2 linked regions of the Callithrix jacchus genome follow. The protein of the gene in region 1 interacts with the protein of each later gene in a pairwise test. Links are inferred from orthologs where the notes say so. Each region holds a gene or a part of one and is shown on either strand. Other genes may lie near its edges.

What was found. The genes of interacting proteins can lie anywhere in the genome.
Region 2: the proteins of TMEM218 (region 1) and PCNA interact in binary tests that used the Homo sapiens proteins (3 or more experiments, as listed by UniProt). The link is inferred for Callithrix jacchus from reciprocal best matches to the Homo sapiens genes TMEM218 and PCNA.

What each region holds. Positions count from the first base shown.
Region 1 is NC_133511.1:24,700,324-24,711,091, reverse strand, and holds TMEM218 (transmembrane protein 218), read left to right. Parts: upstream 1-4,299; 5' UTR 4,300-4,377; coding exon 4,378-4,487; intron 4,488-5,121; coding exon 5,122-5,199; intron 5,200-5,339; coding exon 5,340-5,442; intron 5,443-8,595; coding exon 8,596-8,730; 3' UTR 8,731-10,736; downstream 10,737-10,768. UniProt on the Homo sapiens protein: May be involved in ciliary biogenesis or function.
Region 2 is NC_133506.1:12,555,309-12,565,947, reverse strand, and holds the start of PCNA (proliferating cell nuclear antigen), read left to right. Parts: upstream 1-4,571; 5' UTR 4,572-4,713; intron 4,714-7,166; exon of another isoform or gene 7,167-7,319; intron 7,320-9,444; exon of another isoform or gene 9,445-9,567; intron 9,568-10,639. UniProt on the Homo sapiens protein: Auxiliary protein of DNA polymerase delta and epsilon, is involved in the control of eukaryotic DNA replication by increasing the polymerase's processibility during elongation of the leading strand.

The DNA.
Region 1 (10,768 bases):
AAGGAAATAGAGTGATAGAGAGTCAATGTTCAAGGGGTTACTTTAGAGAAGATACTCAGGGAAGACCTCACTGAGGAGTGACATTTAAGCAGAAATCAGAAGGCTGAGGAAAGCCACTCCTTCAAATAGTAGCAGGCGTGGTTGGGGTAGAGGGTTCGTTCTAGGCAGTGGAAACAGCAAGTATAAAGACTCAGAGACGGGGAAACCCTGGGCATGTTAGAGTGACCAGATGACGCCCACGTGGCCCTAATAAGGGGAGACTGTTTCCCAGAGAAGTTAGGCATGCTGGTGAGCATCCCATCTCCCCTCACTCTGTCATCTTTTCATGCTGATTCTTTCCTAAACGTGCATGTGCGGAGTACTTCTTTCATAAAGCCCTTCTCACTATTGTAATTCCCACTGCACCTCACTTTTACCATTAGTCAGAATATAATGTGGACAGTTGTTTTCAGGACAATGTTCTCCGATAGACCGTGAGCTTCTGTCAGAAGATATCTTATTCACCTTTGGCGTCCCCAGCTTATAGCACAGTGCTGTATATGGCAGGCACATCATAAATGTTGATTCAATAAATGTATTTTTTTTTTTTTTTTAGGGAGAAAGAGAAAGAAAAAGAGGGAAAAAAGAGGGAAAAAGAGGAAAAAAAGAGGGAAAAAGAGAAAAAGAGGGAAAAAGAAATATTACTTCATTCCTAAAATGGGTATCAATAATGGCTGATCAATATTTTGTGTGTTTAAAGTGGATAATGTATATTTTGTGTGTTTAAAATGGAGAGCTCTATTGAATTTATTTGTTCTGGTTCTGAGTTCAAGTCCTGGATATCATTATCAATTTTCTGTCTCGTTGAATCTAAATCTCATTATGGGTCTTATGTATCTGGGTGTTAAGATCTCTTATTATTACATTAATCCTTTTACCCTTGTATCCTTGTAGCTTTGAAATCTATTTTATTAATTGTGAGAATTGCAACTCCTGCTTTTTATTTATTTGTTTTTGCTCTCCATTTGGTTGGTAAGTTTTTTTCCAACCCTTTATTTTGAGTCTTTGTATATCTTTAGATATACCGTTAGATTTTGTCTGTATCTTTTGATTGGGGGATTTAGTCGATTTAAATTTAGGGTTACTGCCATTTGATATTAACTGGCTATTTTATCCTTTTGTTGATGTAAATTCTTCTTTATGTTAATGCTTTTTACTTTTTGGTATATTTTTAGAAAGGCTCATACTGGTTGTTCCTTTCTATGTATAATACTTCTTTTAGAAGTTCTTGTAAAGCAGGCCTCGTGATAGTAAAATCTCTAAGTACTTGCTTGTTCCTGAAAGATTTTATTTTTCCTTCAATTGTAAAGCTTAAATTGGCAGGATATGAAATTCTGGGCTGAAAGTTCTGTTCTTTAAGTATATTGAATATTGGCCCCCACTCTCTTCTAGCTTGTAGGGTTTCCGCTGAGAGATCTGCTGTAAGCCTAATAGGCTTCCCTTTATGGGTAACCTGATCTTTCCCTCTGGCTGCCCTTAATATTTTCTCCTTCGTTTAGATCCTGGTGAATCTAACAATTATGTGCCTTGGGGTTGGTCTTCTTGAGGAATATCTTTGTAGTATTCTCTGTATTGCCTGGGGTTGAATAGTGTCCTGCTTTGCTAAGTTGGGAAAATTTTCCTGGATAATGTCCTGAAAAGTATTTTCCAGCTTGAATTCATTCTCTCCGTCACATTCAGGTACACCGATCAAACGTATATTAGGTCTTTTCACATAGTCCCATATTTCTTGGAGACTTTGCTCATTCCTTTGTATCTTTTTTTCTCTATTCTTGTCTTATCGTTTTATTTCATTAAGTTGGTCTTCAACCTCTTATATCCTTTCTTCTGCTTGATCCATTAGGCTATTTAAGCTTGTACATATTTCGCTAAGTTCTCGTGTTGTATTTTTCAACTCCGTAAGTTCATTTGTATTCCTCTCTATATTGTCTATTCTTTTCATCATTTCATCGAACCTTTTTTCAAAGTTCTTAGTTTCTTTACATTGGGTTAGAACAAGTTCCTTTAACTCCCAGAAGTTTCTTATCATCCACCTTTTAAAGCCTACTTCAGATAATGGAACACAGTCCTTTTCCATCAGGACTTGTTTTGTTGCTGATGAGTCCTTTTCCACCAGGGCTTGTTCGGTTGCTGATGAGTCCTTTTCCATCAGGGCTTGTTCCGTTGCTGATGGGTTCTGATTTCGAGTATACTCGGCCTTCTTAGGCTGTTTTTTTCCCTTCATTGTAGATGAACCGCCTTTCTAATTAGGTTTCTGAGTCGAAGTCCGACTTATTGATTCCCAGTGCTGGGATCCGAGCAACCCACTGTGGCAGCCTAAATAGCAGCGATAAGACTGATGGTGCTCTTCTGCCCGGGAATCTCTGGTCTGGCTTCCCTCTTGAGTCTGCAACAAGCAGCTCTGATTTCCTGGAGCTCCTAACTCCGGTCAGTAGGGGAAGCAGTCCCGTTTACTCTGCATGAAGAGCTGCTGCGCCGAGAAGCCGGCAAAACCGCTGCTGCGGCCACAAGAGTCGCGCTGGCGACCCGTGGGGCTCCTCCACTGGGAATCAGCTGATCCGTGAGTGACGAAAATTCGTCTAAAAGTGTGGTGTCGTCTCGTTCTCTGAGCTTTCACTGGGAGCTACAATCCCGAGTTGTTAGTGATCAGCCATCTTGGATCGGTCTCAATAAATGTATTTTTTTAAGCAGTTCATGCTTAGACCCTCCTTTTCAATAACTTTATAACCTCTCATAGATAATATTTTCATGGTATTTAAACCATGAGGGTAAAGAAAACCAGCAACCCAGAGGAATGTGTTTGCTTAAGACTTGTCTCCAATGCTGAAAAGGAAAACCAGGGAGGTAGTGTAATGTGCTGTTATTCTGCTGTGAGTTGAATGGTGGTCCCAAAAAATATATGTCCATATCCTCACCCCTAGAATCTGTGACTGTGACCGTATTTGACAAAAGGGTCTTTGCAGATTTATTTAAGATAATACTAGATTATTTGTACAGACCCTAAATCCAATGACAAGTACTCTTATAAGAGACAGAAAAGGCAAAGACAGACACAGGGGAATGCCATGGGAAGATGGAGGCAGAGACTGGAGTTGTAGTTAAAAGCCAATGAGCAGTGCCTGGAACCACCAGAAGCTGGAAGAGGCAGAGAAGGATTCTCCTCTAGAGCAGCCGTCCCCAACCTTTTTGGCACCAGGGACTGGTTTCATGGAAGCAGTTTCATACAGGGAAATGCAGGGGGATGGTTTCAGGATGAAACTGTTCACCTCAGATCTTCAGGCATTAGATTCTTATAAGGAACATGCAACCTAGATCCTTCGCATGTGCGGTTCACAATAGGGTTCATGCTCCTATGAGAATCTAATGCCACCACTGATATGACAGGAGGCGGAGCTCAGGCAGTAATGCTGGCTTGCCTGCTGCTCACCTCCTGCTGTGAGACCTGGTTCCTAACAGGCCACGGACCATGACTGGTTCATGGCTCAGGGGTTGGGAACCCTTGCCCTAGAGCCTTTGGAGGGAGTACAACCCTCCTGACACCTTTATTTTGGATTTCTGGCTTCTAGAACTGTGAGTGAATATGTTTTGAGCTGCTAATTAGGAAACTAATACATACCCCATTGCGCTTATATCTCACTTACCCATTCTGTAACATGGATATAGTAATACCTCTCTCAGAAGCTTAGCACCAGAATTAAATGAGGTATGTTTGTATGGTACTTAGCACATAGTAAGTGTTCAAAAATAGTGATGGCTGTTCCTCTTCTCTAAGGACTAAGGGTTTTCTTCTTCTTGAATAAGAACTCAACAATAGAGTGGGAATTATCTGTGATTGATTGCTTGGTGAGTCAAAGCTCACACCATGGATTTAACTGGAGAGCTTCAATTTCTGTTTTGGCCCTGAAGCTCCCATTCCCTGGTGTCTTCTAGCAGTTCTTAGTTAAAGTTTTGTATCAAGAGAGGGTTCAGCTTTCTCCCATGGGCGGGGGGAAGAAGTCAAAGTAGAGCTCATGTACCAAATTTGAAGGGAAACACTCAGAAAAAACTTCTGAGTGCACAGCAGAAATCACCCTCTCAGTCCCCGCCAAAGACAAAGGCTTTGGGTTCTACATTTCTAGTTTCCATTAAGGGATTCTGGGACTGGACATTTTTGAAAATTAATGACCTGTACTGAGTAATCCTCCTAACACAGTGATCATCAAAAAATTCCCTGTAATGAGTTTAGGCTTTCTCTGAATGCCTTCATGGGAGTGTGCAGCAGGAAGACCGCACTGGAGCACTGAGGACACTTGATCGTGCGGCGTGCAGGGTACGGAGCCCCCGCTGCCTCCCTGCAGGATGACTGGCACTGTGCTTGGAGTCGGTGTGGGTGTCTTCATCTTGGCCCTGCTCTGGGTGTCAGTGCTGCTGCTGTGTGTGCTGCTGTCCAGAGCCTCCGGGGCAGCGAGGTAAGGCATTCTTTCCAGCTGGGAGTCCTAGGTAAAGCAATTAGAGGCAAAATTGCTGATGCTCATTAAACATTTAGAATTTAAGAGATCAGTTTGTAATTACTGGCAGTTTGAATGAGTTGCATTTTAACCTCTTTTTATAAGCACAAACCGTGTTATTTATGCTCTGAAGCAGAGATGGGAGGAGAAGGAAGTGGTGTTCTTGAGTTCTAACTGTGGAGGAGATGGGGGACACAAGAGATGACAAGAAATTCTGCTTTCACTGCTTATTGAATTTCTCAAGGTTGTACACATGTATGTTTCTGAATTGTTCAGATTTATGGCAGATGCTTGGTCTAGTCCCCAAGGCTCTAGCCCTGGACCCAGGAAAGCTAAAGCAGCATTTGATGAGTTGGGCCTGCTTCCTTTATCAGGTGTTGCCTTCAGAACAGGGTTAGGCCATAAACCAACTCTGAAAACACTGTAGAGTTGCCTCTGGCAAGGTAGTGTTAGCATGAAGCAGAGAGTTGTAGAATTTTCTAAGTATTCTGTTCTAAAAATAACAGAAGTGGAAAGGGAGAGGGGATGCTTTGGTTTTTCTTGATTATGCATTTGGGCAGAAGTAAAAATCAAAACTACAAATTTTCATTCTTAGGAAATGGGAATTACTAAGAATAAGCAGGAATGCACCCAGCTGGTACCTGTCTAGGAAGAAGGACTTTGAGATGAAGAGGTTGTGGACAGCAGATCTCTGGGCATTGTTAAGGCACTGAAATATAGAATATTGGCCCCAAGAAAGAGACTGTCCAGACCTAACTGATCAGAGAAGAAACTGTAAACAGTGCTTTTAATAATTTGTCTTTTTGACCCCAGGTTCTCTGTCATTTTTTTATTCTTTGGTGCTGTGATCCTCACATCAGTTCTGTTGCTTTTCCCACGAGCTGATGAATTCCCAGCCCCAGAGGTGGAAGTTAAGGTAAAGCTGTTGGTTTCGTTTTGCCTCCTGAGCTGTAACTCTTACTTCTCTTGGTCTGCACGTCTACTCTGCCCTCGATGCTCCCTGACATTGGGCTGCCTGAGATGTCAGAATTGTAAAGTTCAACCAATGATGGGGAAAGTTCAGAGGGAGTTTAAAGTTTCTCTGCCCCTTCACTAAGGAAAAGAATCTAACTCTGAATTCCTCCTGCAACCCCACCAGGCAGTTATTTGCCTGATTTGGTCTCAACTCTAGTTTGCATCAGGTTGAAAACAGCCTGTTGGAAAGCCACCTCATACCATGGGGACCGAGAAAGAGAAAATGAAGTAGGGATAGTCACAGGCCTGCACTTGAGATGGAAGTGTTCCCATTCCTGGCAGCCTGGGCTCCTCACCTCAGATCCTGGGCTGAAGTTGATGCAGTGCCCTGAGGGTGCAAAGGACATGTGCTAGAATTTTCCTAACAGTTTTCTGGGAGTTCTTTCGTCCTCATGCCTGGGACCATACCTGCCAGCACCCAGAATTTAAAAATTCTTTAAATGAATTTTGATTATCTCTCTCCTAGTCCTTCTCTGGAGTTGTGGTTCATTCCTGATTTGGGGCTCCAGCTTTACCATGTATGGCTGGTCCCAGACCCATGGGATCTTCGCAATGGCTTTGACCTCTTCTGTCCCATTACTCCTCACAGCTTTCCTCTCAACCTTCATTTCAATATTTTAAGTAATGATCATGAAAATAGCTAACATTCTTTAAGGGATTTCTATGTGTCAGGTCCTGTGCCAAACACCTTGTTTGCACTGTCTCATTTAAACCTCAGGACAGCCCTAAGTAGTAGGACGTAGGTGCCATTATTATCCTCATTTTACAATAAGAATACTGAGCCTGTAAGAGGTTAAGGTAACTTGGTCAAGGTCACATAGCAAAAGGCAGAGCAAGGATTCAAGCTGAGGTCCGTCTTCAAAATCTTCATTGTTCAGAACCTAATAGAATATCTGGGGCTGTCCCAGAGAGCTCATTAGCATTTTGACACTAGCCAACAACAGTACACAAGGTTATACATGTAACTTTTGAACTAAAATTGACACTCTAGGATTAACCATGGAAAGAGGAAGGGAATTCATTCTGAAAATTCCAAGGGAAATAGTACTTAACAGACTTAAGAAACTGTTTCCAAGGACGCCAGTTTGTTGTCAGCATTTGGAAAACACTCTGGAGGTGTGAGTGCCACGTATGTGAGCCAGGGGTAAATTCCCACCTCATTTTCCTTGTCTTTGAAGGGGGAGAGTGAAGTAGGCTGCCACATTTCTGGATGCCGCCGACATAAACACTGGGAGAAGGGCAGAGAGCAAACACATTTTTAAATCCAATCCCTCGATTCTCTGCCATGCAAGTTTCAGACCCAGGAGAGAAGAATGGGGTTTGAGCAAAATACGTTTGTCAGCATGGCCAGCAGAATTGGAGTTCTCATTTTCAGGGTTTGAGAGCCGGCCTCTGCAGCAGCCTGGCTCAGTGCTATATCAATAATACATGGCCTGGGCCTTCTGCACCCAAGGCCTGCTAATTGGCTAATTAAAAAGTGAAACCTGTCGTACGAGCAAACATGTGGCCCACAAGAGACTTGTTCAGTACTGGAGCCAAGGTCAAAGTTATGTTAAAGCTGTTTTATCAAACTGACCTTTGTTGTAAGTTGACTATTGGGGTAATCTCTGGAGCAGCTGAGGTGTCTTTGGATCTCAGTGATCCTACCAGGGCTCGGGTCTAATAGGTGTTTTGCATATGGCTGCTGTATTAGTTTTCCATTGCTGCTGTAACAAATTACTGCAAACTTATGGCTCACAACACAGATTTATATCTTACAGTTCTGTAGGTTAGAGTCCAAAATCAGCCTCATTGGGCCAAAAGCAAGGGGTTGGCGGAGCTGCATTCTTTCTGGAGGTTCTAGGGGAGAGTCCATTTCCTTATCCTTTCTAGCTTCTAGAGGCTGCTCATATTCCTTGGCTCACAGTCCCCTTTCTCCATCTTCAGAGCCAGCAACATCATCCCTCACTGACCACTTCAGTTCTCACCTCTCTTGCTCTGACCCTGTCTTCCACCTCTGTATTCAACTTGGAAGGATCCTTGTGATTACACTGGGTCCACCTGGATTGGATAATCTAGGCTAATCCTATTTTAAGGACAGCTGTTGGCAATCTTAATTCTCCTTTAACATATAATCTAACATGTTCGCAATTTCTGGAGATTAGGATGTGGCTATCTTTGAGCCATTATTCTGCCTGCCACAGTTGCCTTTCAGGTGTTTTGGATTCTCTCCTAGGTACTGGGATTTCAAAGCTTCTGTGAAGTCAGTCAGCCACCTGGTTTGTGTTATTGCTCTAATAGGTCTGTAGATTAAATTGCTTTTCCTATCCAAATATAAGCACCACCATTTGGATCTAGGGAGAGTAGAGCTCTGGCAGGGGACAGCGGACAAGTGGGTAGAGCCAACACCAGTTATAGGTTTTTGTCAGCAAAGACCAACATCTTTGGGGCCTCAAGTGTAAGGCCAAGCGGCCCACTGTCTGATTTGGGGCAAGTTACCTATCCTCTTAGTGTTTTAGTATCTCAGGCAAGTGGCCATTTTCCTTCCCCTTGGCAAGGGACTCTTCTGCTGATCGCTTTAAAGAGTTCTCTTTAATTTCGAAAATGAACCCTCCTGAAATGGCAATGGATTGATGATTTTGGGAGTTGGGTCCTCGACATGGGGGGTTATTATACGATTGTATTTTTATGTATGTTTAAAATTCTCTGTAATAAAATGTGTTTTAACAACAACAAAAATGAGCTTTTCTAGGACCAAGCAAAAGCTTCTCATTAACTCTTTCAGACAGTGGATTTCAGAATATAATTCATCCAGGGACTTCAAAGTGTTTACCAACCTCCTAAATTGAGTCATTTGTTCCCTGTACCTCATTAATCCCTACTTGACCTGTGTCTCCTGCTCAGGGAGTTGAGGAAAAGATTCTTTTTTATCCATGTGAAGAGGAGACTCAGGGCAGGATGTTATTGGGAGTTACAAACATGAACAAACTCTTGGCCCATTCACCACAGAGTTCAGGTTAACCCAGCCAGAGTGCGTAAGTGGTAGTAATTTCATTTTGATGTTTTCTTTCTCCAGATTGTGGATGACTTTTTCATTGGCCGCTATGTCCTGCTGGCTTTCCTTAGCGCCATCTTCCTTGGAGGCCTCTTCTTGGTTTTAATCCATCATATTCTGGAGCCCATCTATGCCAAACCACTGCGCTCCTACTGAACACTCTTCAGGAAAATGAAAACCTGTTCTCTTCTTCATTGTGATGACATTGATGAGCAGAAAGGCACTATTCAGAGCCCTTGTTTTGACAGCCCTCGTGCCTTAAGATTAGAGGAGTATCCGTCCATCACTAAGACAAATCTCTTGAGTCCTGGCTTCCAGAAACAGAATTGCCAAATTGTCTCTGTGGGGCTAGATTCTCACCAGCTTAAGAAGGATATTGCTGTCTTTTTAGTATTCGTATCTTAGGATTTCCGACTGTTTTGAAAGGGAAATAGTAATGATGATCTGCTTAGAGTGGATTTCCAGCCAAGTCCTTAGTAAGTGGATTTTGGGGAAAAGACCTCATTGGCTTCTGGTTCTTTTTGATAATATATAAAATTCTTCATTAGGAGGTTGCAGTCATTTGCAAAGGAAAGGCACTCAAATTCAAAAGGTTATTTAATGTGATAATTTGGAAGACTTGCTCAAATGTTGGTCATTGACCACTCTGTGCATATATTTCCACAGAGCTCTATAAAGGCAATGAGTATCACTTCCCTCTGCTCTAATAAAGCAATAAACAATAGCTAAAGGGCTGACTTTCACTTTGAAATTTTGGCCACAGCTTTTTGAATCAAGTATCTTTAGGTTTCCTTGGGATTAGAGGAAAGATATGGAAATATCTTTTTCTTTTGTTTTTGTTTTTTGTCCTCCTATGTATCTGCAGGGTTTTTTTCTTTCATGATGGGGTGGGCTCTGTGTGCCTTACTTAATTACCATGAGTTCATTTTTGGGGGTCTTCTCTTTTCATCTTTGTAGCCCTTTCTCCAAAGCTAGTGAGGAAGGTATATTCTTAACATTAGATATAACTCTATACCTGTCTGATCTCCCAGACCAAGTGAAATTTGCATTTAATGGAGGGGCTCTGGTCAGGTTCCACTTTGGAAGTCTGATCCTGACTCTCTAGAGCCATTTGAAAAAGAGTCTTCTGTCTTAAAATTAAGAACCAAGAAAACAAGTTGGAAGGAGAACACTGATGGAGTACATGCTCTATGCTAGTAGCACACTAATTTCTTTGAGGTTTAATTTATTTAATTTTTACAACAGTCTCATTTTTATCATCCCCACTTTAAAGTAGAAAAAAGTGAAGCTTCAAGAGATTAACTGACTTGCCCAAGCTTCATCTAACAGCCAGCTAGCAAACCCAGGTGTGGTAGCCCCCAGGGCTTGTCTCGGAAAGAAAATACACTATGCTTTGTGGAACTCTGATTGAGAGCCTGAGGTAAGTTAAGGCCACTACTCCTTCACTTTCTCTCCTCGATCCTGTTTTCCCAGTAGAGAGGGTACCCAGTCCTGCCACCCCAGAGGCAGCTAAGCTCTAAATTCCAAGAGGAGAGAACAGGTAATCGTTGAGAGTTATGGGCTGGTGAGGGCCAGGTATAGTTAGCCCTACGTTGAACAGTCTTTTTTATCTTATTTTGGAAAAACTTCGCAGATAAGGCTTTGTACAGAAAGCTTCAAAGAAAATAGTTTCCTAATCTGGCCTAGGGCACACAGGGAAGAAAAGAAGAAACATCTTCTAAACAGACTGAGGAAAAGAAAAAAGAATGCATGCATCTTGAGGGAAGTGAGACAAGCTGGGGCCCTCATGCTATTGTGCTTCTCTGTGAGTCTCCATCCAGCCCAAGTGGAAGCTTGGCTCCTAACAAACCCAGGGTGCCAATTGTTACCTTCTTCTGAGAGCCTTGCTGAGAAAGTAACTCTGGGAAAAGTATTATAGGTTCCTGACCATCTTTTTCATTCTCCGAAAAGATTACTCAACTATTAGATCAATGCATAATAACTATGAGATTTTGGGTGACTATTTAGATGGGGGAAAGTGTATTAAGGTTGGAAACTAAATTATATCCTTAATACTACTGTTTTCAAATGGGGTTTTTTTTTTTTTTGTATGATGTAAATGACAGGCTTATATGTTAAGGACTGGCTTTAGGCAAAAAAAAATATACTTTGTGCAAAGTTTATTTCCGCTTGACCTACCGTCTACAGACCTAGA
Region 2 (10,639 bases), on another chromosome or scaffold:
TCTTCAGTTAAAATTTAAACTCCCCTTTCTAAATGACGTCACTCTTTCCTCTCTATATGGGTTTCACCTATCTAGAAAGGAAGCCTTGAAATAAGTAAAGCTCTAATTTAAAAAGCACCTCGGATCGCTTCTCAGCCTTTTGGCTAAGATCAGATACTACACGCGCTCTGAGCCAAAATGTTCTTTCTTTTTAAAGAAGAAGGCTGTGGGAAAACAAAATATTGTCCTCGGATAGAGGACGTATCAGATATTAAACTGATAAGCAGGACAATATGTTAATGGATTTTTGGAGTAGGGAGATGGATTCTTTTTTTTTAAAAATAAAAATAGATATAAAAATAAAAAAATAGCACCTCGGGAAATAAGTGAAGCAGAAAACCCCAGAACCTTTACTCTAACTTACAAAACAAAATCTCCTGAAATGATAACTCAGTTATAAATTTTAAGATGCCAATCTTTCAGCCACATCTCATCCTTCCCTTTCCTAAGCTCCATCGTAAAAATACATTTGGGCAGGACAAGGATCATTCCCAAAGCCTAAACTCCAACTTTCTTAGATTGGCAACTATACTGTGCCTTGGGACTTTAAAATTATAAGCAGAGTTCCCAGAGGAGAACATTTCCTTTATTAGCAATTGGCTTTGAAAATTCCATTCTCAGATGCTAAATATAACAAAATACCTTCTGATTTTTTTTTTTTTTTTTTTTTTTTGAGATGAAGTCTCACTCTGTTGCCCAGACTAGAGTGCAGTGGCGTGATCCTGGCTCAGTACAACCTCCGTCTCCCGGGTTCAAGCAATTCTCCTGCCTCAGCCTCCCAAGTAGCTGGGACTACAGGCATGCGCCTCCATGCCTGGCTAATTTTTTGTATTTTTAGTAGAGACGGGGTTTCTCTGTGTTAGCTAGGATGGTCTCCATCTACTGACCTTGTGAACCACCCACCTTGGCCTCTCAAAATGCTGGGATTACAGGTGTGAACCACCACACCCAGCCTATGACTTTTATAAATAAACATTCTCCAGATTATTTTGATACTAATGATTATCTATTTACAAGAAAGTTTTGCCACTGGCAGTTAAGCAACTGTAACATTTTGAAGAATCTTTCAAATTTATTCCAGAGCTTTTAAAGCACTGACTTGAAAATTGTTTACTGGATTCTTCTACTATGAAATAAAAAAAGTTCTCATTTCCTTAAAAAGACAACCTGTTTTATTATTTCTAATTTCCCTGGGTTCTAACACAAGAATATTGGCAAAGCCAAAGTCATGGAAGTAGGCTTTTCCCAAACTATGAAACAGAATAAATCAGGATTTTTGAAAAAGTTTACTATGGGCCTGGCGCGGTGGCTCACACCTATAATCCCAGCACTTTGGGAGGCCGAGGCAGGTGGATCACGAGGTCAAGAGATCAAGACCATCTTGGTCAACATTGTGAAACCCCATCTCTACTAAAAATACAAAAAATTAGCTGGGCATGGTGGTGTGTGCCTGTAATCCCAGCTACTCAGGAGGCTGAGGCAGGAGAATTGCCTGAACCCAGGAGGCAGAGGTTGCAGTGAGCCGAGATAGCACCATTGCACTCTAGCCTGGGTAACAAGAGCGAAACTCTGTCTCAAAAAAAAAAAACAGTTTACTATGGGCCAGCTGCAGTGGCTCACACCTGTAATCTCAGCACTTTGGGAGCCAAGGTGGGTGGATTACCTGAGGTCAGGAGTTCAAGATCAACCTGTACAACATGGTGAAACACCATCTCTACTATAAATAAAAAAAAATTAGCAGGGCGTGGTGGCAGGTGCTGTAATCCCAGGTACTGAGGAGGCTGAGGCGGAGGTTGTAGTAAGCTGAGATTGCACCATTGTGCTCCAGTCTGGGCCACAAGAGCAAAACTCTGCCTCAAAAAACAGAAAAGAAAAGAAAAAAGTTTACTATATACATTCAAAGACAAGTAATAGATTTCACACCTTTTAAAACGTGCCCTTATTAAAAATCCCATGCATGACAATTCAGAAGTTCTGGAGGATGTGGTGAGGGACTGATTGCCTTGTTCTGGGTAATGAGTATCAGTGTGCATAGCAGCTGTCTTTTAGGGACCTCATGACCCCAGGCATTATGTCACTGCATAAGTGATGTAAGTGCACCTTCAGCTGGACAGCTCCTCATGTCCTCCCTACTGAAAGTAGGGGATGTGAAAGTAAGACCAACAGGCACTTTATCTCTGGGGATGGATCCAAGGAGTCCAGAAAGGGCAGAATCTTTATGTTCCATCTCACAACCCCATCGTTGTTTTTTTTGACATTCTAACTATTGTACATAGTCAGCTTTTCAAAAACATGGCCTACCAGCTTTCATGCCTTCTTTCTTCTCCCTCTTCTCATACCTTCTAGGTCCACAATGTCCCAGTGACATCAAGTATGATCTCACCTTAAACAGAGCCTCCAAACATCTGCATACTCACCAACTAGCAGTAACAAGGTAAGTCACAATTCTTTCAGGCTGAACCAGAAGAGCCCACTGAAAAATTAGAGACTTCAAAGTCTCTTGTCTCTGCAAGCAACTGCTAAATCCTTAGCCCTAGCCCTAAATTGTCTCCAAAATATGTTTTTTTTGTTTTTGTTTTTTGAGACAGGATCTCAAACTCCTGGGCTCAAGCGATCCTCCTGCCTCAGCCTCCCTAGTAGCTAGGATTACAGTTGTTCAGCACTGTGCCTGGCCAAAATACATTTTCTAAAATTCAGTATGAACAGTTTTCTTTGGATGGTCCACTGTCAATTGCAATAACACAAAAGTTGATTTTAAAAAAAACAACCATTATCTTTCACCCAAAACATTCCTCCTAGTGTAATTGATCTGTTGACATCCTGTCACCAGATCTTGTGCTTTCTTCCTTCTTGGTGTCTCCCTAATGTCCCTTTCTTCCAGTTATCAAAAAGTTACAGGCTGCATTAGAAGAAGCCATGAGCCTGGGTGTAAGGCAACAGGAATTGGTGGGAACAGATGATCCTCAGCTCCAGCCAATCATTAATCAGGTGAGAAAATGATGGTGGACCCTCCAATTATCTAAGGCAAGAAACTTAGATTGTTAGGAGAAATTTTCTGATTTTTAAGGCAACATGTGGGCCAAAGAAAACATCTACAGGTCACCCATGGGCAATCCCCAAGTGAACCAGTCTCCCTCATTCTAGTCCAAGCTCCCTCAATCCATTCTACACATCACTGCCAGATCAGTTTTCCAAATACAGGACTCCTGACCACTGCTATCTCGGAAAGCACAACTACAACTACAAAGTCCTATGCTGCCATTCAATGTCCACAGTAATACAACTACTCCCTACCTTCCTCAACTCCCCTACACAGACCTTTCACTTCACCCAAAGGAATCTACTCCCACACCCGTCACCCCCCAGCCGCTGTCCCCGCCAAGATGGCCTCCTTCCTACTCTCCTCCCCTACTCACCAGAACCCATACGGCACAGGAAACAACCCATCAACTGGGAGGACTCCCTCCAACACCTGCTGATGACGGGGTGGCTCACTGCGTAACACACCTCTCTGCTCAAAGCCGATGATTTCCTGTCCAAGAAGGGATTTACATATGCCAGGAGGCAAATGCTATGGCCTTGTCCCGATTCCGACACCCCCCAAAATAATAACATTGCAAAAGGGAACGGAGAGCCTAAGTCGCGGTCAGAGGAGCCGCCTATCTGAGAAAGCTCTGCACATCTTCACCTCCAGGAAGGCCTCAGGGAGGTAGGGGGAGAGGGGGGTCCCGCAGTCAGCCCAGCGAGGCAGGAGGCCGTGCGCCACTCCAGGCGAGCTCCTTCCTGCGCCCCAGGGGAGCCACTCCAGCCAGACCCTGAGCCGGGACTCCGACCCGCCAACCCTTGACATGCGCGCAGCAAAGGCTAGGCACCCGAGGACCCATCGCGCTGCCCGGGGCCGCCGTCCGCCACGACAAGGGATCAGAGGACTAGAGGACCCCCCTGCGCGCGTCCCCACCGGGCCTCCTGGATGCGCCGCTGTCCCGGCCGCGCCCACCCCGAGGCTGCCGCTACCTTGTCCTCGGGCGGCGCATCCGGCTCGTGGGCCACCCTCTGCCTCAGCTCGGTCATCCTGGAAAAACCTGCCCGACGTCGCCGCGGGCGAGCAGCGCAGCAGCCAGGAAAGGCAGCTCAGCGCGGGCACGCGCGGACTCCCTCGGCCGGCCCCGCCCCGCCCGGGAGTCGCGCGGCTCCGAACAGCTCACAGTTCCCTTAGCAGCCCAGCAGCCAGCCCTGGAGCTCGGCCCCGCCCAGCGCCGTCACGGCCCTTTCACCCGGGCGGAGCAGGGTCTGCCTTCCCTGGCCCCGGCCCGCGAGCTCCTCCTCCCCGGAGGCGGGCTCGGAGCGAGTGCGCACGCGCAGCGCCGCCATCACGACCCGAAAGATCGACCAACGGCGCAAATACGCCAGGGACAGGGAGACGGGGGCGGGGCGGAGCAGAGTTGAGAGGCTCGCATTGGACGGCAGCGTCAGGGGCGGGAATAGGCGTGCGTTTCAGAGTCCGATTAGCCAATGGGAGCTCCTGCTTCAATGCAGATGGCTGAAGCTGGCGCCCTGGTTCTGGAGGTAACGGATTACCGACGGCGAGAGGCGCCACCCGGAGGCTCTAGCCTGACAAATACTTGCTGACCTGGGCTCTGAGCCCGCAGCAGCAAGGGCTCTTTCTTCACGCAAGTAAGTAGACGTTATTTAGGCCGAATGGAGAGGCCAGGTGAGCCGACCTGATTAAAAGCATTATCGCTTATCACATGATGAGAAGTGGAACCCACACTTCAATCTGCCTTGCTTTGCCAAGCGGTCTCTAGTACTTGTTGAGCGCTAACTGTATACTAGGCACTGAGCTGGGTAATCGCTTTAGTTGGCTTATCTCATTTAATCCACACATGGCTTGGAAGTGAGTATGATTTGCATTTTGCAGTTGAGATCTTCCTCAGTTTATTTATTTATTTATTATTGAGACAGAGTCTCGCTCTGTCGCCCACTATCTCAGCTCACTGCAGCCTCCTCCTCCCGGGTTCAAGCAATTCTGTCTCAGCCTTCCGAGGAGCCGGGACTACAGGCGCTCGCCACCACGCCCGGCCAATTTTTGTATTTTTAGTAGAGACAGGGTTTCACCATATCAGGCTGGTCTTGAACTGCTGACTTCAGATGATCCGCCCATCTTGGCCTCCCAAAGTGTTGGGATTACAGGCGTGAGCCACTGCACCGAGCCCTTCCTCACTTTCTAAAATTTGTCTTCTGGACTATGGAAAGGCTCAATAATTTTGAGCCAGGCTGGCCAACATAGTGAAACCCCATCGCTACCAGAAATACAAAAATTAGCTGGCCATGGTGGCGGGAGCCTGTAATCTCAGCTACTCAGATGGCTGAGGCAGGAGAATCGCTTGAACCTGGGAGGCAGAGGTTCCAGTGTGCGGAGGTCACGCCACTTGCACTCCAGCCTAGGTGACAGAGTGACATTCCATCTCAAACAAAAAATGATTTACTTTGACGGCTGCTAAAATTATTGATGGAGGGGCCATCCTAAAGTAACTAAATTTCTGGGGGAGGGCCAAGTGGAATAGGCTTTTTTAAAGCTCCCCAGGTGAGTCTAGAGTGCAGCCAGGATTGAGAATAATTCTGATACATATTACCTTATGAAGAAATTTGCCAGATACTACATAAAATAATTTATAGCATTTTCTCCCAGTATTCATTTTCTGACCAATACATTTTTACTGAAAAAAGTATAGAAAATACAGAAAATGCAAGAAAAATTTAAAATTATTTGTGGCACCATCAGCCAGATAATTACTGTTCATATTTATCTTCTTGCTTTTCCATTCCATTTACTGTACACATACACCCAGATATAACAATTTGAGAAAATTGGAATACCTTTGTTTATTCTGCTTCATAACGTGATTTTTCTCTTTATTAAGCTCTTTGCAAATCGTACGTTAGAGGCTAAACAATATTCCATCTTACAGATTTATCACAATTTACCTAACAAATGCAAACACTGTTAGACCTTAAGGTTATGTCCAATTTCTGGGGGAATTATTAATAATTCTGTAAGAGGCCAGGCACGGTGGCTCATGTCTGTAACCCCAGCACTTTGGGAGGCAAAGGTGGGAGGATCATTTGAGCCCAAGAGTTTGAGACCAGCCTAGGCAATATGGTGAAACCCTATCTCTCCAAAATATTAGCTGGGCTTGGTGGTGTTCACCTGTAGTCCCAGCCACTTGGAAGGCTGAGGTGGGAGGATCACCTGAGCCCAGGTCAAAGCTGTGGTGAGGTGAGCTCATGCTACTGTACCTCAGCCTGGATGACAAAGTGAGAACCTTTCTCAAAAATAATAATCATCGGGCGGGGCATGGTGGCTCACACCTGTAATCCCAGCACTTTAGGAGGCTGTGGCGGGCAGATCACAAGATCAAGACCATCCTGACCTACATGGTGAAACCCCGACTCTACTAAAACATTCAAAAATTAGCTAGGCATGGTGGCACACACCTGTAGTTCCAGCTACTCGAGAGGCTGAGGCAGGAGAATTGCTTGAACCCGGGAGGCAGAGGTTGCAGTGATCTGAGATGGCACCACTGCACGCCAGCCTGGTGACAGAGCAAGACTCCATCTCCAAAAAAAAAAAAAAATTGTCAGTCATCATCATCATTCTGTAAGAAACATTTTTTTTTTTTTTTTGAAACATAGTCTTGCCCTGTTGCCCAGGCTGGAGGGGAGTGTCGCAATTTTGGTTCACTGTAACCTCTGCCTCCCAGGTTCAAGCAATTTGTGCCTCAGCCTCCCAAGTAGCTGGGATTACAGGTGTGTGCCACCACACCCAGCTAATTTTTGTATTTTCAGTAGAGACAGAGATTCACTTTGTTGATCAGGCTGGTCTGGAACTCCTGACCTCAAGTAATCTGCCCACCTTGGCCTCCCAAAGTGCTGGGATTACAGGTGTGTGCCACTGTGCCCAGCTGCTTTTATTATTTTCTAATAGTTTAATATCTGATCAAAATTTACTTAATTGATTCTTTACTGATTCAATAGTACATTTACTAGATGTTAAAGTATCCTCTTAAAATGTAAATTGGATCATATCAAAGACCTGCTGTTGACAACGTTCGCTTGCACTTTTACAGAGCCTACAAAGTCCTGCAAGAGTTCACCCCAGCCTCTCTGCAACCTCACCGAAACCTCACCTTGCACCACTCTTACTCCAGATGCAACCTCACCTTGCACCACTCTAGCACTTAGTCTGAGTGCTACATCTAACTTGTCTGAATATATTCCAAGTATGCTGACCTTTATTTTTTTATTTTATTTTATTTTTTTTGAGACGGAGTTTTTGCTCTTGTTACCCAGGCTGGAGTGCAATGGAGCGATCTCGGCTCACTGCAACCTCCGCTTCCTGGGTTCAGGCAATTCTCCTGCCTCAGCCTCCTGAGTAGCTGGGATTACAGGCACGCGCCACCATGCCCAGCTAATTTTTTGTATTTTTAGTAGAGATGGGGTTTCACCATGTTGACCAGGATTGTCTCGATCTCTTGACCTTGTGATCCACCCGCTTCGGCCTCCCAAAGTGCTGGGATTACAAGCTTGAGCCACCACTCCCGGCCTATGCTGACCTTTATAATCATGCTATTCTCTCAGCCTAGAATGCTTTTCTTCCAACTCTCCAAACAGCTGTCTTCTCTGACAAGATGCTATCTTCTCAGAGAGGCCTTCTCTGACCACAGTCAGAGGCATGTTTATGTCCTCATTTCAATTTAACATGAGTTTAACACAACCGTACACCTCTTTATCATTCGACATTTTTAGGAACACATCACTTCTAAAATAGCAAAAATAATTCATCTACATTGTAAGTCCCACATGGGTAGAATTTAATTGACATTTAAAATGCCGTCAAATCTATTACACTGTGATTTGGCATTAAACCAAAATGTTATTATGTAAGCAGACAGGACTGAAACAGAGTAGTGGAGCATATGCATTTGTTTTTAGTGAAGCAAATGTTCCTCACTGGAGGAATGAACACATTCCACATTTTGTGAGATTTTAAGGGACCCAAGAAAGGAAAATACCCACAAACAGATGATGCTGTATTATGTTTTGATATTGAGATGCATGCAAATGGGTTGTCCATCACACATAAAGCAAGAAAGTGCCAACATCAAACTTACAAATGGGTAGGAGAGGCTTGCAAGAAATTCTTCGAGAGACAATAGAATAGCACTATTGAAAAATGCTGCATCATCAACACCCTTAACAACACAGGGTACAATATTATACAGAAAAACAGCAGTATCAGCAACTGAGTGGAAAAACAGTAGAAATGCCTTAACCAATATAGCTTACATTTTTTCTTGTATGCACAAGAGTAATAAGAATGTGTTTAAAGTCTAAAAGTTCTTTTAAAACAAATTAGAAATTCTAAGTGATAAAGCATTGTGTAACAGTTTGAGGCTGGGTGCAGTGGCTCATGCCTGTAATCGCACACTTGGGGAGGCTTAGTGGGAAGATCGTGTGAGCCCAGGAGTTGGAGCCCAGACCGACATAGTGGGACCTCCTCTCTACAAAAAAATTTAGAAGGCCAGGCACGGTGGCTCACGCCTATAATCCCAGCACTTTGGGAGGCAGAGGCGGGTGGATCACGAGGTCAAGAGACCGAGACCATCCTGGTCAACAAGGTGAAACCCCGTCTCTACTAAAAATACAAAAATTAGCTGGGCGTGGTGGTGCGCGCCTGTAGTCCCAGCTACTCGGGAGGCTGAGCCCGGAGAGTCACTTGAATCCAAAAGGCGGATTCCGGCCTGGTGACAGAGCAAGACTCCATCTAAAAAAAAAAAATTTTTTTTTGAGACGCAGTTTCGCTGTTATTACCCAGACTGGAGTGCAACGGCCGCCCGATCTCGGCTCACCGCAACCTCCATCTCCTGGGTTCAAGCCACTCTCCCGCCTCAGCCTCCCGAGTAGCTGGGACTACAGGCGCGCACCACCACGCCCAGCTAATTTTTGTATTTTTAGTAGAGACGGGGTTTCACCTTGTTGACCAGGATGGTCTCAGTCTCTTGATCTCGTGATCCGCCCGCCTCTGCCTCCCAAAGTGCTGGGATTATAGGCGTGAGCCACCGCGCCTGGCCCAAAAAAAAAGTTTTAAACTTAGCCAGGTGCAGTGGTGCACATCTGTAGCCCTAGCTACTTGGGAGGCTATGGCAGGAGGATACCTCAAGCCTAGAAGTTGGAGGTGGCAGTGAGCAGTGATCATGCCCCTGCACTCCAGCCTGGGTGTCAAAGGGAAACCCCCTTTCTAAAAAAAATAGTAAATAATAGTTTGACAGTTTTCTTTCCTGTGCTACATAAAATGATGGTACGTATTACACTTGAAGGCATCTTAAAATAGAACTGCCTTTTCCTGTTCCCTTTCAAGGCTGACCCAGTGCTTTAAGAGGCTGACACAGAAGGGTAAAGTTAAGGCTCCACAAAACCCAGGAAAGAGACTGTGAAACTCCTCTTAGAATCCTGTCTGAAGTCACAGCTGAACTAGGGGGGAAAAAAAAAAGACATTCCAGAGATAAAGAATAGACTAAGGAGAGGAGATATTTGAAGCCATAATGAATGAGAAAATGTCAGACGTGAAATGCATCTGCAGTTCCCTGAACAAGATAAATAAAACTAAATCCATACCTAGACACATGGCAGAAAAACTAAGGAGTTCTACTGACCAAGATGTTAAAAGCAACTAAAGAGAAAATGGTGTAAACAGAGCAAGACAGAAACAACAAACCCCGTAACAATTCCTGTAACAATTGAAATTTCTGGCTGGGCGCAATGGCTCACTCCTGTAATCCCAGGACTTTAGGAGATGGAGGTGGGTGGATCTCCTGAGGTCAGGTGTTCGAGACCAGTCTGGCCGACATGGTGAAACCCTGTTCTACTAAAAACACAAAAATTCTGTGGGCGTTGTGGTGGACTCCTGTAATCCCAGCTACTTGGAAGGCTGAGGCAGAATTGCTTGAACCCGGGAGGCGGAGGTTGTAGGGAGCCAAGATCATGCCACTGCTCTCCAGCCTGGGTGACAGAGCTAGACTCCATCTCAAAAAAAAAAAAATTGTAATTTTTACACTGATGAGCAACGATTTAAAAACGAGATTGCTGACATCTAGTTTGGAAAATAAAGAGAAAGCATGTTCATACACAATCTTGGCTAGAATGTAAATTGCAAACTTTTGGAGATTAATTTAGTAATATTTATCAAAAATTTAGCCACGTGCGGTGGCTCACGCCTGTAATCCCAACACTTTGGGAGGCTGAAGCAGGTGGATCACCTGAGGTTGAGAGTTCGAGAACAGCCTGGCCAACATGTTGAAACCCCGTCTCTGCTAAAAAAGTACAAAAATTAGCCGCGCCTGGTGGCAGGTGCCTGTAATCCCAGCTATTTGGGAAGCTAAGGCAGGAGAATCACTGGAACCCGGGAGGCAGAGTTTACAGTTTGCTGAGATGGCACCACTGTACTCCAGCCTGAGTGACAGAGCAGGACTCCATCTCAAAAAAAAAAAAAAAAAAAAACAAAACAAAATTAAATGTATACGCTCTTTGACTCAGCCGTATT